Tribolium castaneum: one gene and its partners. Each later gene encodes a partner of the first gene's protein in a complex. Links are inferred from orthologs where the notes say so. Each region holds a gene or a part of one and is shown in the gene's direction. Other genes may lie near its edges.

Region 1 (3,999 bases):
TCGTGACCCTCTGTTTCGTTTGTTCACGGTTTTTGGCCACGAGTGTCACAGCTGTTTGAGCCCTTTTACAGCTGTTTCAACCAACGCCAAACGAGGAATTTATAACAGTTTCCAAAAAAATTACACGAATTTAAAGATATCAAAAGCGAAAGCAATATTTGTGAAAATTGTTTTTTTTTTATTTATTTTTTTATTTATTAACTTTTTCTTACAACAATACAAGAAAAACATTAGTATATTTTTTAAAGAAGTCTAAAGTTTTTGATAAATTCAAGAATTTCAAGAAAATGGTTGAATGCAATGGTCTATGCACAGATAATAAATAACTCGAATAATACGAGTGCGAAAAGATAAGCTTAAAGTTCGAGGGCTGTCATTATGCAACGAGCGTATGCGAGTGTATACCTGAGAACTTTTTAATGCGTTTTCGCATAACTGTGAATTCAAAAATTTTTTTGTTGGAACATTTTAATTTAAAACACGTTGTCCTGGAAAAGGTGTTTTCAAATAGAAAAAACATTAATTTGAAACACGATGCTAAGGCAAGCGTGTTTTAGAATAGTGAAAACACGTTGCTATCTTAAAATAGTGTTAAGCGGTAAAAATGGCTTAACAATATTTCGAATGCGAATTTGTCATGATCAGACGAGTTAAAATACCTTATATCATTCTTTCAAAAAGTGCGTACTTTCTTCAGAAATTTTTATTAACCCACCTGTTGAGAGCCACTGTGTGGCTTGTGAAAGTTTATTAGCAATTTTTTCATTAAACAAAATCGAGATGGCGGCGCATGGGCGTTCAGAATACATTTCAAAATTGTGGCCCACATGTTTATTTGTGTGGGGGGTTTGTATCCCGGTCCAGGCAAAAAAAATGTTTTTTTTTCGAAAAGTTTAATAACAAAACACATCGAAATAAAGATATAACGTCGTAGTTAATTTATCTCTGCTGTTTTGTCAATAATATTAACATTTACGCTAATTGTTATAATTCTAGTTCAGCGGTTCTCAAAATTTGGGACTTTAATTTTAGAACGATTTTTTCGGAAAACTGCATTTTCGATTTACATAAATTTTATTTAATCGGTTTGTCTAGCCATTCTCTATCTACATTTAAATTTTTACTAAACCATTCCCTAACACGCTGTATAACACAGAAGATCTAAGAAATATAGCAATGTATTGACAAGATAGGAGTAATAGTGTTATGGTTTGTTCAGTAAAATAAAAACCTCAGTGTATAAAGACAACATTTGGAAACAAAAATTTCAAGAAAGAAAGTTTCGACCGTAGAGTGTCAAAAAGTCACGATTTGAGTCCGTTCTAATTTACAATTTAATCAATTTCCCGAATAAAATTTCACATTTTATGCCCCTGTCACTTAATAACGTGTCAACATGACTAGAAACGTCTGTAAAATTTACATTATGCGGTTTTGAATTTCCCAACAATGCGCGTCCCTTACAAAATCAACGAAAACACAAACCTCACTTACGAGGCGTCCCCTGAAAGTTTGATCCTAGTCGGAGAACCCGACCGACAAATCCTTTCTGAAAACTTCCAATGGGACAAGAACCACTGCCCCTCATTGGCAACGCTATGTGTAGAAGTGATAAAGTCAAAATTTGCCGACAGTTCTTTATTAGACGAACTACCATGTCAAGACCGCGATTACCTCCTCGAAATTTTAGATCTTGCGTTACCTTTGCAGCTTGTGGTGCCCCTCATTGAGGTATTAATCAAATTAAGTAATAGTGTGGTCCTGTCAAAATCACAGTTTAGGACGAAATTTATTGGCAACGACGCTACCAGGATAAATACGGAACGATTATTTACAGAAAACGGGAAACGTGGAATTGGAAGAGTTTATTTATTGAGAGGCATGTGCAAGAGATGGTCGAGCAAGCGCAACCCGAACATAATGACGAAGATGAAATGGACGAAATTTTGACTTTGTCTTCTAACTACGTTCGGACGTTGATTGTGACCCAGCTGCAAGCATGGAAGCCGCCGTTACACTGGGATGAAGAAGACATTCCAGAGTTCCATCCCACTGATCATATCAGTTTTGAGCCAATTTTTAAAAGGCTGATCCATATTGAAGAGTTTGATGTGGTTTACGGTACTAAATTCCTAGGAGTCAATTTTTGACCCTTCGTTATTTTATATTATACTGTACGTAGGAAAAAAAAGTTGATTACCCGACACTTTTACTTCGGTAAATTGTTTTTAACTTTGGTTAAAGGCATTGAAATACGCCAAACCATGGAATAAATTGAAAAAAAACAAAATATTTTTGGTTTAACTGTCAACTGAAATATCGGGTAAAGAGAGTTAAATATAAAACTCCGTCATTATTGAAGTTATAAACATGAAAATTGGTATTTGAACTGTTAACTAAAAACAAAAAAGCGTGTTTTAAGTTTGTTGGAAATTCCACCCCTACAGAGGTTAAACTCAGATTTAATATAAAAATTGTTCATTGTTAAAGTTATAGTCATATTTAAACACTCGGTTAAAAATAAAATAAATTAAAAAAATGCTTATCAAAAAGAGGAATTAATTTCTGTTAACGAAAATATTATTAGGACTCGCCCGGCGCATCCACAATTTTTTTAATTTTTCCATGAATCGTGAGTTACAAGTATTTATTATACGAGTCCACATAAAGTTTGTTTATCCACGAGTAAAAAGGTTAAGTCCAAGAGTGATTAAGTCACGAGTGGACTTATTACACGAGCAAATGAACAATCTTTATTAATACATGATTATTTCCATAGCATGACTTCAAGTTTACGAAGTAAAAGTTATTGTGTTTTAGGTTTGTTGGAAATCTCACCTCCATATTAGTTAAACTCAGATTAAACGTAAAAATTCTTTATTGTTATAGTTATGTTAAAGTTATAATCATATTTAAACACTTGGTTAAAAATATAATAAAATAAAAATAAAAATGCTTGGCAGAACGTAGAATTAATTTCTGTTAACAAAAATATTATTTTGACTCGCCCGGCGCATCCACCATTTTTTAGTTTTTACGTAAATTGGTTTATCGTTATTTATTAGACGAGTTAATTAAAAGTTGTTTTTTTATATACGAGTAAAAAGATTAAGTTCAAGAGTGATTAAGTCACGAGTAGAATTATTACACGATCAAATGAACAATCTTTATTAATATATTTTTTTTCCATAGCATGACTTTAAGTTTACGAAGTAAAAGTTATTGTGTTTTAGGTTTGTTGAAAATCTCACCTCCATAGAAGTTAAACTTAGAATAAACGTAAACATTTTTTATTGTTAAAGTTATAATCATATTTGAACACTTGGTTAAAAATAAAATAAAATAAAAATAAAAATGCTTGGCAAAATGTAGAATTAATTTCTGTTAGCGAAAATATTATTAGAACTCGTCCAGCGCATCCACCATTTTTAAATTTTCACATAAATTGGTTTATTGTTGTTTATTATACGAGTCGATAAAAAGTTTGTTTATCTACGAGTAAATAAGTTAAGTCCAAGAGTAGTTAAGTCACGAGTGGACTTATCACACGAGCAAATAAACAATCTTTATTAGTACATTGTTTTTCCGTAGCATGACTTCAAGTTTACAAAATAAAAGTTATTGTGTTTTATGTTTGTTGAAAATTCCACGCCACAGAGGTTAAACTTGAATTAAACGTAAAAATTCTAGAGTTTTAAAGTTATAATCATACTTGAACACTGGGTTAAAAATAAAATAAAAATAAAAATGCTTATCAAAACGTAAAAATAATTTCTGTTTCATGTAAGTATTAGGTCACGCCCGGCGCATCCACCATTTTTAATTTTCACATAAATTGTGGTTTACAGTTATTTATTATACGAGTCGATAAAAAGTTTGTTTATCTACGAGTAAAAAGGTTAAGTCCAAGAGTGGTTAAGTCACAAGTGGACTTATTACACGAGCAGATAAACAATCTTTATTAATACATTGTTTCTTACATAGCAAGACTTCAAGTTT
Region 2 (4,223 bases), on another chromosome or scaffold:
TCTATAACTTTGTTCCTTACACATTTTTGGTATCTTTAACCGTTTTTACTACGTTCTCAAAAATATAAGGTGGAACGCAAGTTGATAATTCAAAGCAATAATTCTTTGCGCACCGGCGCATATTTATCAAAACACTGGGAATACGGAACTGAATTTTTTGTAAAAAAAGTACTTGACACCATATTTCTATCTTCTACAGTTTATACAGGGTGCATCAGAAATACGTGTCTTAATTTTAACAGGTAATAGAGCTCAACAAATAAAACATCTTTTCTATTTGTAATTTTTCAATAAAAAATTTGCAAATTTACTCAAAATTTGAAAAAAGATAACATACTGAAACGTGTACTCATCTATAAGTACAAAAATAAGTGAACTGAACTATTTTCGTTGTGATAGAAACGGACAATTTAAACAATTTAAAACAACAATGCAAATGGTTGCCATGAATGCAATAATTATTAAACACTGACCGACTCGTTTGCACAAAAGAAAGGAGGAAAACGAAGAAAATTATAAATAACAATTTTGCAAAATGTTATATAGAAATGTTGTTCTCTTTGATGAGTTTTATTACGTGTTAAAATTAACACACGAATTTTTGATACATCCTGTATACATAGTGGATAAAAGTGGGTTGTTTCTAAATTTCTATAAATATGCAACCAATAATAGCGATTCCTGCTGACCAGATGGGTAATTGTTAAAAAAATTAATTTAATCCAAGATTACATTGTTCTGGATAGTGTCAAGTTTGTCTTGACAGTTCATTATAGATTTTGTTATAGATTATTATTATTTAAATGATAAAAAACCAGTGTTAATTTAAATAATGTTTTAAAAATCAAATTCCAAGTCGTACGTGCAATTAGTATTTTTGGTTGCATTTTAGGACATGTTAGAAGTAACCCACTATTGACTCACCCTGTAATAATTAACTTTATACCTACACTTGGTTCAGCGTCTTCAAGGCATAAACCGATGACGTTAGAAATATGGTCTGGCGGTCTTCTTTACAGGAAATTTAATTCATTTGAAATTTTTTCCCAATTTTAAATCTTAAATAATTTTTTCTCATGTTTGTTATGAAAATTTTAGTCGTCAGTTTTTGTTAAGAGTGCAGAGCTTAACATTTCTGCATTTTTTCCAAGTAATGAGTGAGTTGGTTGGATTTAAATTAATTTAAAATCGCTTGAAGCGCCCTCATTTTTTCTCCGCTGTACTATTTTTTTAAGTTCAGAAATTTCTGCGATTTTCTGTCTCGTTTCGTCTCCAAACTAATAAATAGTCCTCCATAATTCACACTGTAGTATACTAGGTTATAAAAATAAAGTTTTGTGCATCCGATTTTAATAATTACTGGTTTAATAAGAAATAACAAATAAAAGATTAATTCTTCACAAGTTTTTTTGTCACTCCGACACATTTTCTAAATAGTCATTTAGATGCCAAATTTTCTGACAGAATATTTTTAGTGTCATTGACTCATTGGGCAGAATTCTCCCTTAAAATAAGTCCATTCCAAAGAAATCGATACGCGGGTAGTAACCATCTAAACAAATAGTTTCTTGAAGAACTGCTAGCTAGTTCATTCACTTTCACTTCGTAAAATGGTTCAGTATTTTAATAATTGTTTGAATTTTCGCTAATTAAAATTTTCCAGCCTCCCAAAAAGAAAGGTGGAAAAGGAAAAGGCGGTTCGGGAAATATCATCGATGGAGTGGACACAACTCAAATGACCCGAGAGCAGCTCGAGGTCTTCTGCCACCGAATAAAAGAGGAAAACGAACGAGAAAGAGAAGAACGAAATTTCTTTCAACTCGAAAGAGATAAATTACGGACGTTTTGGGAAATCACAAAAAATGAACTTGAAGAAGCTAAAGCAAAACTCAGGTGCAAAAATTAAAAATTTGTAAAAACAAACACTAGAATAAAAATTTGTAGAAACAAAGACCGACAGATTGAGGAAGCGGCTGAGAAAAACGAAGAAGAACTGAAATTTTACAAGCAAAAAGTCAAACATTTGCAATACGAACACCAAAACAACTTAACAGAATGTAAAGCTGAAGCGCTTGTTTCGCTGAAAATGTCACAAGATGACCACACTGAACAGGAAAGAGAATTGTTGCGAGATAAGCGAGATTTGAAAGCGCAAATGCGGGAACAAGAAGTCGCCCATCAAGATCAAGTCAAAGCTTTAAAACTGGTACCTATGATTATTTGAATTTAAATAGTTATTATTATTAATAATACGGCTGTCGTTATGCAACGAGCGTATGCGATACCCGAGTGTTTTCGTATGCCTGTTTTTTGTTAGAACATTTTAATTTAAAACACGTTGCTATGAAAAGTGTGTTTTAAAATAGCGAAAACCCGTTGCTATGGGAAACGTGTTTTAAAATAATGTTTATAATCTAGGATTCAGATATTAAAAAAAAGACTTAAAATAGTACCAAAAAAAAATAGTTATTAATGATAAGAGTCCAAAAACACAAGCCTAAAGTTTGAGAGCCCTCTTTATGCAACGAGCGTATGCGAGTTTCATACCTAGACACCCGAGAAGTTTAAGCGTTTTCGTATGAGTGTTATTCAATTTTTTTTTGTTGGAATATTTTAATTTAAAATACGTTGCTATTGGAAGCGTGTTTTAAAATAACGAAAACATGTTGCTATGGGAAACGTGTTTTAGAATAGTGTTTATGATTTAGGATTCTAATATCAAAAAGAAGGCTTAAAATGTTACCAACAAAAAATAGTTATTAATAATACGAGTGCAAAAACACAAGATCAAAGTTCGAAGGCTGTCGTTATGAAACGAGCATATGCGAGTTGCATACCTAAACACCCAAGAACTTTAAGCGTCTTCGTTTGAGTGTTATTTAAAAATTTTTGTTGGAACATTTTAATTTAAAACACGTTGCTATGAAAAGCGTGTTTTAAAATAACGAAAACACGTTGCTATGGGAAACGTGTTTTAAAATAATGATCATAATCTAGGATTCAGATATTAAAAAAATGCTTAAAATGTTATAAAAAAAATAGTTATTAATAATAAGAGTCCGAAAACACAAGCTTAAAGTTTGAGGGCTGTTTTTATGCAACGAGCGCATGCGAGACACCCGAGAAGTTTAAGCGTTTTCGTATGAGTGTTATTCAATTTTTTTTGTTGAAATATTTTAATTTAAAATACGTTGCTATGGGAAGCGTGTTTTAAAATAACGAAAACACGTTGCTATGGGAAACGTGTTTTAGAATAGTGTTTATAATTTAGGATTCAGATATTAAAAAGAAGGCTTAAAATGTTACTAACAAAAATAGTTATTAATAATAAGAGTAAAACACAAGCTTAAAGTTTGAGGGCGTATGCAAGTTACATACCTAGACACCTGAGAATATGTTAATTTAAAACACGTGGCTATAAAAAGCGTGTTTTAAAATAGCGAAAACCCGTTGCTATGGGAAACGTGTTTTAAAATAATGTTTATAATCTAGGATTCAGATATTAAAAAAAAGACTTAAAATAGTACCAAAAAAAAATAGTTATTAATGATAAGAGTCCAAAAACACAAGCCTAAAGTTTGAGAGCCCTCTTTATGCAACGAGCGTATGCGAGTTTCATACCTAGACACCCGAGAAGTTTAAGCGTTTTCGTATGAGTGTTATTCAATTTTTTTTTGTTGAAATATTTTAATTTAAAATACGTTGCTATGGGAAGCGTGTTTTAGAATAGTGTTTATGATTTATGATTCTGATATTAAAAAGAAGGCTTAAAATGTTACCAACAAAAAATAGTTATTAATAATACGAGTGCGAAAACACAAGCTTAAAGTTAGAGGGCTGTCATTATGCAACGAGCATATGCGAGTTGCATACCTAGACACCCGAGAACTTTAAGCGTTTTCGTATGAGTGTTATTCAATTTTTTTTTGTTGGAACATTTTATTTTTTAAAACACGTTGCTATGGGAAGCGTGCTTTAAAATAATGTTTATAATCTAGGATTGAGATATAAAAAAAGGCTTAAAATATTACCAATAAAAAAATAATTGTTTTTAGCAACATAGTGAAGAGATAAGCACCATCAGAAACCAATTCGAACTGAAAGAAAAAGAACTGGAAAATAAATACGAAAAAAAATTTGCTGACCTGAAACAAGAATTAAACATCAAACATACGTAATCAAGGAATAAATGTGCAAGTTTTTTACATTATTTACCATATTTG
Region 3 (3,972 bases), on another chromosome or scaffold:
CTGATGAAACCATGGCTTTAGGATTTTTGGTGAAGGATAAGACTAGGTCACAAAAACTCAAATTGAATTTTCTTAAATAAACTTATTTGCGTCCTCATACAAATATGTTAAAATTAAAACATAACCATACGAAACGCAATCACTTCTTACTCGCCAGAATTATACCGTCATATTTCTGCTGGAACCACTTCATGGCGTCTTCTTTCGTCAAACGGTGCGGGAATCCAACCTTCCCTTGTTTCCTCCTCCTGTGGGCGACATTGAAGCCAGGCCGTCCCAAAACGACGTAAAAATCTAAACCGTAGATACCAATACTGGGGTCATACTTGATCCCCAAATCGATGTGTTCCTGGATACCGAAGCCAAAGTTACCTGAAGCTAATTCTCTCATTAGAGCGATTTTCGCGCGATTTGTGCCAAAAAAATACCGGAAAAGTTGTCGCGTCTCAATTCGTACTCGCGCACTTTCAGGCCCCGTTCGAGGATCTCCTCGGCCTTGGCCCCACGGACTGTGCAGTGAACGGCGATCTTTTCGTTACGTCTGATGCCGAAAGACCGGACGGTGTAGCGGGCTTTGGAAAACACGGGCTGTTGCCCCGTCAATTGTTCTAACACCTGCAAGTCGAAAATTACAATCTGGGGGGCGATGCAAAGACACTCACTTTAGCGGCGCGGGTTAACCTATCACCAGACTCTCCGACGCAAATATTTAGGCACAGTTTGCGGATGTGAAGGTCCCTCATCACATTTTTGGACTTGTCCTTCACCTCCCGCTTTTCCTTCTTCGCTCCCTTCGCTACCGGCTGGAAAAAACACAACATTTTTTTTATAGGTTAGACTTGCCCTGTCATAAATAACAACCACAAGGTGAATTTTCGCCCAAATCTACTAAAAAAACAGCAAATGATTGGTTTTAAACGACTCTTTACGTGTTTTTAGGCGAAAAAACTGCCAAAAAATGATTTTTGGAACACATGTCCCTAATCACCAAAAACAAAAAATACGCCCAAAATCACAAAAAAACAATCATTTGACACGCAAATCACTCAATTTCAATCAATTTCACTGATTGTGCAAAACGATGATTAAAGAAATAGAAAATTGAACGAAAAAACAGGAAAACATACCGCCATTGCGAATCTAGAAAGTTGAAAAGACCGTCGGTAAAACAGTTTTCTGAAGCACAATTCTCTCCCGTTGCTATAACAACGTGGCGCTAAATTCAACTTGCTATTTTATTTGATCAATATCAAGAAATGGAAGAGGAAGAAGTGACCGATGAGGAGAATTACGAACCGCAGGTTTTTTCCAAAAACCCCACCGAACGTATTGCCGCCCGCCGGCTCCGCATCCAGCGCCGGGTGGAGGCTTTGCGCAAGTAAGCCCCTTTTTTCTGACTTTTTTTCATTTTGCCAAAATCAGGGCAAAGGAGGCTCAAGAGGCGGCAAAGCTCAACGTTACGCTCGAGCCGGAGGTCACCAAGACGCCCATCGAGATCCAGATTGAGAAGAGCATCGAGCTTTTGGAGAAGCTGGTTCTCGAAGGAGATGAGTATGTTACCAATGTTCGGGTGGCAACGGAGGCTCGGGAGGCCGACAGGCGTGAACGCGAAGGCATAGGGAAGGAAAAGCTGTTGAAGGAGCTCGAAGATGAGGCCGAGGCGGCAGCGGGGATGTTCGAGGAGATTGCAAACAAGTGGGGCGGGATTTTGAAGTATAATGACCCCTTGCATATCAGTGAGGATATCCAGAGTCAGAAGGAGAAGTGCGATGAGCTTATCAGACAGAAGGATAATCTCATTGCTGAGCTGAAGGAGAAGATTCGAAAGGCGGAAATCAATTTTGCGATTGATCAGAGAAAGCAGATCGAGGATGTCAATTCGATTGCACGCAGGATTGAGAATCAGGTCCCTATGACTTAAACGTTTTTATCCTAGATGACTTCATGCACATTTTGCTCTAAAGGTTTTTTCCCAGAATTTCTTTTCCTTCTCATAATTTTTTTCAGGTTTTTTTAGTTTTAGTAGATTGCAATTTTCGTAAACTTAATTTCGTTCATTCATTCATTTATCTACTGTGATTTTTTTGTGTATTTACTTTCCAGTTAATAAGGGGGTTAAGTTATAGCAATTGCTAAACAATTTAAATAAAACAGACGAGTTATTATAATTATTTTTGCAAATTATATTTGCTATAGTTGTATTGTTGGTTGCATACCCAACCAAACGTTTAATTTAGTTTTTCCAAATTTTAGATTATCGTGATGAGGAAGGCGTATCGCCAGGAGTTACAAATGATCGAAGAGGTGATCCTTGCCGAACGCCAAATCCTCATTGAGGCCAATAACAAGAAATGGGAGGAACTGTACAAGAAGCGAGACCAGGAGGAAAAAGCAAACTCCGAGCTCAAATCGGAAGATTACTGGAATTTTGTCAAAGAAATGGACCATTTGAACCGCGACTTTCAAGAACTGTATCGTGCGACCACAATTCAACTAGAAAACGACTGCGACGAGCTCCAGCGTGAGCTGGAAAGAATCAAAACCGATGCGGTTATGAACAGCGAAAAGCTCGACTACAATTACCAGATTTTGAAAAAACGCGAAGACGAGAATCTGATTATTCGGTCGCAACAAAAGCGCCGAATTAACAAGCTTCAGGACGTTATCAACAACTTGCGGAAGAAAAACAACGATTACCACACTCAAACCCATCAACAGATTGACAAACTCACGATCGAGTTGAAAAAACTGACCCAGAATATCCTCGATATTGAGCGGAAAGCTGATCATATAGCTCAGGTTAATGACGAGAAGTTTAAGAAAATCTGGGGTATGAATAAGCAACGGGCCGATCAGCTTTTCAAACGCATCCTCGAGATTGATAAGACTTTGTACGAGCAACAGTTAGGTTTGATTTGGAGCCCTCCTGAGCATAAACTCCCCACGAGAAATGAACTAGACAGTTACAAAACGGCCCTAAATGTTTTGAGCGTTCGCAAATTGAAAAGCAAAAGCGTGATTATGGAAACAGAAGGCGCCCCGAACGTGGAACCTGAAATTCCTGAAGGCGATGACATTGACTATAATAAAAATTATAAAAAAACGTTGAGACATGTCTTGAATTTGGTCGGCGATAAGATGGGGTTTTTGATCGAGGATGACTTACTTGCCATTTTGGAGCCCTATTTAGAGCAGGAACGCACTTTGGTTAAAGTTGATAACGTTTTTGCGGTAGTTTGTTACAGTTAATTGTTTATTTATGTGCAAAAAGAATATTTTAGGCCCTTAATATTAATGATCGTTCCGATATTGACCTACTTCTTGAGTTCTTCCTCCCTTACATGTTCTGTCCCATTTGTAACACAACTTCAGAAAAGCCCATCAATATTGATGAAGAAAGTTTGCTGAATGTTCATGAAATGGATCCTCTGAACGTCTCCCAACTCACTGACAATGATGGTACAGTCACGTTCAAAAAGAATGACACCCTTACCCCTGCCATTTTAGGGGTGTCATTCTTTTTGATCGTGACTGTACTTGGGTACCTAAGGTATTTAAAAAAAAAATTCAAATATGTTTTTTAAGACAGTAGAAGCCGATTAAGTGATACTTATGCCACCGACATGTCTTTGAACGAATACGTGGGGGCGGAGCGTGAAGGGGGGACCAATATAGACGTGGGCCCTTTATCAGTAACCCTTTACGACGATAATTTGAAAGGGGAGTGCAAAGGGCCCGAATTGCGCGAGCGAGAGTAAGCAAATTAAACGAATTATTTGTCACAAAATATTGTTTTTTTACAGTATCAAGGATCAGGACAGTAAAGGGTCGTTTGGTGAAGCTGATAATAAATCAAACGTGCCATGCCAATACCAACACCCACTTGTGATAAGCTCTGTTTACGTTTTGAAAGCTTTGAGAGAGTTTCTGGCCAAATATCACGTCAAGAAGGCCGGGTAAAAATTTGAGTTA
Region 4 (4,244 bases), on another chromosome or scaffold:
ACCGAGCCCAAATTATTAATTAAAAGCTTTTATTTGACTTGCTTTGTTGTCTTTCTGTCTGTTTCTTTTTTTGCAAGTCACATTTGAGAGTTCCTGTTGTCTGAATGAATTGAAATTTTGCATACTTACGTAATTTACTAATTAATAAAATTAATTTAAAACCATATGGGCCCGAGACTGTCTAACACTTGAAGCGCCCTTGTTTTTACTCTCCCGTTTTATATTTTTTGGCGCCAGAAAATTGAGCGATTTTGTATTTATCTCGTTCCGTGTCCTTCCTAAAACCTACTTACTATTTAGTTTTAGTAGTATAGGCTAATCAAACTTGTTACAGTTCAGGGAATCAGAGATTTGTTTTGCTTGCCGTTCGAGCAATACAAGAAAGATGGTCGCTTCTTCAGAGGCCTTCATCGCGGTGCTAATAGTTTTACGACTTCGACGGCAATAGCAGCTTTAGAGCTCACAACGCGGCTTATTCAACTGATTCAAGTGAGTTAAAACCGTTTCGGTTCATTTTCTATATTGTTATTTTTTTAGATTACGGCTGAAACTGCCTTTGATATGTTGACCCCAGGGCCGAGCGTAAAAATTAATCCAAAGACAAAAGTGCGCCGTAAACGATACAGCCAACCCAAGGACATCAGAGAAGGGGTGACCAATGCGTACAAGCTAGTTAAAGAAGTAGGACAGTTGTGAATTTTTGTAAAAAAAATTCTACGTGATGGTTATTGTTTCAGGGAATTGAGGAAACTGCCGATAATATACTACAAGTGGCTTCACACGAACATGAACAAAAAGGTTACAGTGGTGCTGTCGGGGGTGTTATACGCCAAATACCCCCAACTATAATTAAACCAATTATCATAGCTTCTGAAGCTACCAACAATGTGCTGGGTGGTATGCGCTGCCAGTTGGTACCAGACGCAAGAAAGGAAGCCAATGAAAAATGGCGTAACGAAGATACCTACGATTCATACGAGTGATAACAAAAGACTGTTGTTTGTGATTTTAAATTAACAATATAGATAATTTCGTTTAAGGTTGAATTGAGTTGTTGTGAATTGAGTTGTTGTTTTTACGTAGTCTTGTTATTAATCAAATATTCAGTGTCCATATTACGCCATTTTGGATGAGTTTACCTGAGCTGATACTGAATGATAAAAACGGGACAATATATTTTCGTAAGTTGAGCAAAATTGCGCTGTTCGTTCTCACGTGATATTCTAATAATCTGTACAACCACAACAAATGATTTCGTTTGTACCGATTATTTATTTGTATGTTGTGTGTGTTTGGATGCAGAAATGGACCGCGAATTACCATTTTGTGATAGGATTATTGTAATTAAACAATTTTTCATGTATGCAATATGAATAAATTTTTATACTTCGCAAAACGCGTTTTATTGGTTATCCCTCAAAAAAGTGACACTATCGTCATAGTAACGCGTTCAATTGTTGTCAAAAATGGAGTCAGATTTGGACTTCTTTCCGGATTATTTGAACGGTTACCAGTTCGACGATGGCGAAGGCGAAGAAGTGGAAGAAGAGGAGATCAAATACCATTACATCGAGATCTTGGACGCTCCGCGAGAGCTATTACCACCGGTCGAATTAACTCTGAAAGACCTCTCGCACATAGCGAACGAGCTGGGTTTGATAAAACTTTGTTGGCCCGAAATCGAACATCCGGAATTTGAGAATCGGGTGAACTTCCCGGAAAGCTACTTAGCCAATTCCAATAAGGAGAAGTTGCTTTTGCTCTACACGGAAAATTTCAGGAGGCAATTCAGCTACAAGTATCCTCACAGGAAGCAATTATTTCTGGCCAGTAACAACGAATGCGGAATGCAGGTAAGCAGAGAGCTGCCGCGCTTCCACCGCAAAGGGATAGATGGGGTGCGGTTGAATTTTTCAGAAAATGGTGTGCAATACGATTCGGCTCACAACGCTTCCCTATCCGGAAATTGAAACCTGGCAGGACTGCGCGAAATTTGTGGGAAATGCGCTGCGGTTCGAGCCGTTCGAGATTCCCACCTTGATTGTAAGTAAAAAACATGTTTATTTACAAAATCACAAAACAAAGAAAAAACAATGATTGTATACTACTCTTAGTTTTTAACTAAAGAGTTAAAAATATTGATATGATATACAGAAAAAAAACTTATTAGTACTTTCGTAATCGCTACATAGCTACATATTCATAACATATTCTTTGTTTAATTCATTTTTTGAATTTTTTTTATAAATTAAATAATTGCTGTCATTCTCTGTACACATTCTACAAAGATCTACGCAAGTGAAACTAAAATTTAATTTTTTCACGAATTTATTTTTTAGTGAGTGAAGTTATTACGTGTTGCAAATGAGTTTTTCAAGCGATCCTAATTCGTTTACTTATACATAAGATTTTTTTAATCTTGAGTTAATTTTGTTACAATTCCCTCTACCATTCCAAGATTCAAAAAAACCACCGAGTGATTGTACCGTCTTTTTAAATCACAATGTATAAATAAGAAAAGAAAGGCTTTTTATGCAAAATGGGGCGAGAACTGAGCTGGTTACATGGTTATATGTAGTTATACTCGTAGGTTATTAGTTATAAGATATAATTCATGTTTAAAAAAAAACTTACATTTTGTAACTGACTCACAACGTCAAATAAGGAAAAAGATTTTAATGGGAACTACCATTGAGTTGGAACTACGCTTTGCTTGTGTTATGATCCAAAATGACTAAGTCATGCTGACTCATGCATCCCCAAACCTTGTTGATATCAAGACTGATAACAAAGTATATATATACAGGCAATTAGAATAAAAATATGAATCTGAATCTCAATCTCTTCATGTTCTAGTGTAGTGTTAGTTTTAATAAACATATTCAAGAAATATTGTCCATTTACTACTCATCTTCAAAGAAGGCACTCAACAAATTGGCGCAGTCAGTAGGATGCGAAGATTGTGACAAAGAAGAAAGAAAATTGGGTCGACATCAAAAATCGAACCCGTTTTCCCCCAATTGCCACAATTGAAATTAATCTTCAAGAAGTCAAAGAAAAGGGTCGAGAAATTTTCATCGAGTATCCCACAGCTTTGAACGTAAGTGGACAATCTTTTTCTAAAGCTATTTTTAAATCTAGTAGTACGTTTATCCTGTTGCATGTTTCTTCGTTCACACGCAAAAAAAATAATAATGACTACTATCGCTACCACTACACCTACAACCTCCACAACAATCATAACAACATCGCAAATTCAAAACCCTATTCCTAATCGAAATCATAACTCTAACAATAATAATGATAATAAGGAAAACTCAAACACCAATGATACGCCAATTCATAACATGTCTGATATCCGGTCAATCATTTCTAACGATTTTGACGGGGACAGAAGCAAACTTTACGATTTTCTCCAAAATTGCGGTCAAGCGTGGGCGTTATGTCGCGGAGACCAAAAAATTTTAATAATCTCGTATATGGAATCTAAACTAAAAGGTGCTGCTAGAGCACAAACCCGATTTCACAAATTTTATTCTTTTAAAGAATTTCGTGATTGCCTACTAAAATTATTTGGAGACAGACGCGATTTTTCACAAATACTAGAAGAATTAAGTTCGATTCGACAACATAGGAATGAAAGCGTTCAATCTTACTTTTCGCGAATAGAAAATTTGCAAACCTTAGCTTTTAATAAAATATCTTTTCAAGACGAAAAAGAATCATGCGGCCGAACAGCAATGATTAACGAAATCGCTCTACAAAGATTCATTTTACATGCTAACGAAGAAATATCAAATGCTTTGAGACGATCTAAACCACAAAACTTAAACGATGCGTTAGCTGAAGCCCTTGACGAGGAAAGATTTTTAAATGCTCGTAAATATAATTCATCAGATTTTTCTGTTAATAATAAATTTTGTTCCTATTGTAAAGTCAAAGGTCATTTGTCAAAAGAATGTCGAAAAAGAAATGTAGATCAAAGTCATTCACCTAATCATAGTGTATCTAAAAATCATAAAACAAAATCAAATTTTAATAGTAACTCCAATTCAAAATTTTGCCGTTACTGCAAAAAGAACGGTCACTTAATCGAAGAATGTAGGAAACGCGAATATAATAATCAGAAAAAACAAAGCCAATCCTCTTCAAATAATAATGTCGTTAATTTAAACTCACAAACGTCCACAGTGAGTGTCGCACTAGTGGACAACCATTAAATTCAAAGTTCGACACAACTCGCA

Evidence for each region. Proteins that work in one complex are often made in the same cells at the same time.
Region 2: dynein regulatory complex subunit 5 (region 1) and Gas8 share a complex: the UniProt entries of both Homo sapiens proteins name them as parts of the nexin-dynein regulatory complex. The link is inferred for Tribolium castaneum from reciprocal best matches to the Homo sapiens genes DRC5 and DRC4.
Region 3: dynein regulatory complex subunit 5 (region 1) and dynein regulatory complex protein 1 homolog share a complex: the UniProt entries of both Homo sapiens proteins name them as parts of the nexin-dynein regulatory complex. The link is inferred for Tribolium castaneum from reciprocal best matches to the Homo sapiens genes DRC5 and DRC1.
Region 4: dynein regulatory complex subunit 5 (region 1) and lobo share a complex: the UniProt entries of both Homo sapiens proteins name them as parts of the nexin-dynein regulatory complex. The link is inferred for Tribolium castaneum from reciprocal best matches to the Homo sapiens genes DRC5 and DRC7.

Annotation. Positions count from the first base shown.
Region 1 is NC_087397.1:8,815,992-8,819,990, forward strand, and holds the start of dynein regulatory complex subunit 5, read left to right. Parts: upstream 1-1,199; 5' UTR 1,200-1,449; coding exon 1,450-1,731; intron 1,732-1,781; coding exon 1,782-2,121; intron 2,122-3,999. UniProt on the Homo sapiens protein: Component of the nexin-dynein regulatory complex (N-DRC) a key regulator of ciliary/flagellar motility which maintains the alignment and integrity of the distal axoneme and regulates microtubule sliding in motile axonemes.
Region 2 is NC_087400.1:9,427,199-9,431,421, forward strand, and holds the start of Gas8 (dynein regulatory complex subunit 4), read left to right. Parts: upstream 1-1,423; 5' UTR 1,424-1,610; coding exon 1,611-1,613; intron 1,614-1,663; coding exon 1,664-1,893; intron 1,894-1,944; coding exon 1,945-2,206; intron 2,207-4,055; coding exon 4,056-4,174; intron 4,175-4,223. UniProt on the Homo sapiens protein: Component of the nexin-dynein regulatory complex (N-DRC), a key regulator of ciliary/flagellar motility which maintains the alignment and integrity of the distal axoneme and regulates microtubule sliding in motile axonemes.
Region 3 is NC_087399.1:6,863,435-6,867,406, reverse strand, and holds the start of dynein regulatory complex protein 1 homolog, read left to right. Parts: upstream 1-1,172; 5' UTR 1,173-1,256; coding exon 1,257-1,378; intron 1,379-1,422; coding exon 1,423-1,906; intron 1,907-2,253; coding exon 2,254-3,231; intron 3,232-3,281; coding exon 3,282-3,459; intron 3,460-3,585; coding exon 3,586-3,754; intron 3,755-3,803; coding exon 3,804-3,956; intron 3,957-3,972. Other genes in the region: RpL11 (large ribosomal subunit protein uL5), read right to left, coding at 140-378, 429-615, 663-803, 1,128-1,133. UniProt on the Homo sapiens protein: Component of the nexin-dynein regulatory complex (N-DRC) a key regulator of ciliary/flagellar motility which maintains the alignment and integrity of the distal axoneme and regulates microtubule sliding in motile axonemes.
Region 4 is NC_087396.1:17,962,989-17,967,232, forward strand, and holds the start of lobo (dynein regulatory complex subunit 7), read left to right. Parts: upstream 1-1,444; 5' UTR 1,445-1,466; coding exon 1,467-1,853; intron 1,854-1,917; coding exon 1,918-2,043; intron 2,044-2,843; exon of another isoform or gene 2,844-4,244. Other genes in the region: Atg2 (autophagy-related protein 2 homolog B), read left to right, coding at 335-489, 538-681, 738-983. UniProt on the Homo sapiens protein: Component of the nexin-dynein regulatory complex (N-DRC) a key regulator of ciliary/flagellar motility which maintains the alignment and integrity of the distal axoneme and regulates microtubule sliding in motile axonemes.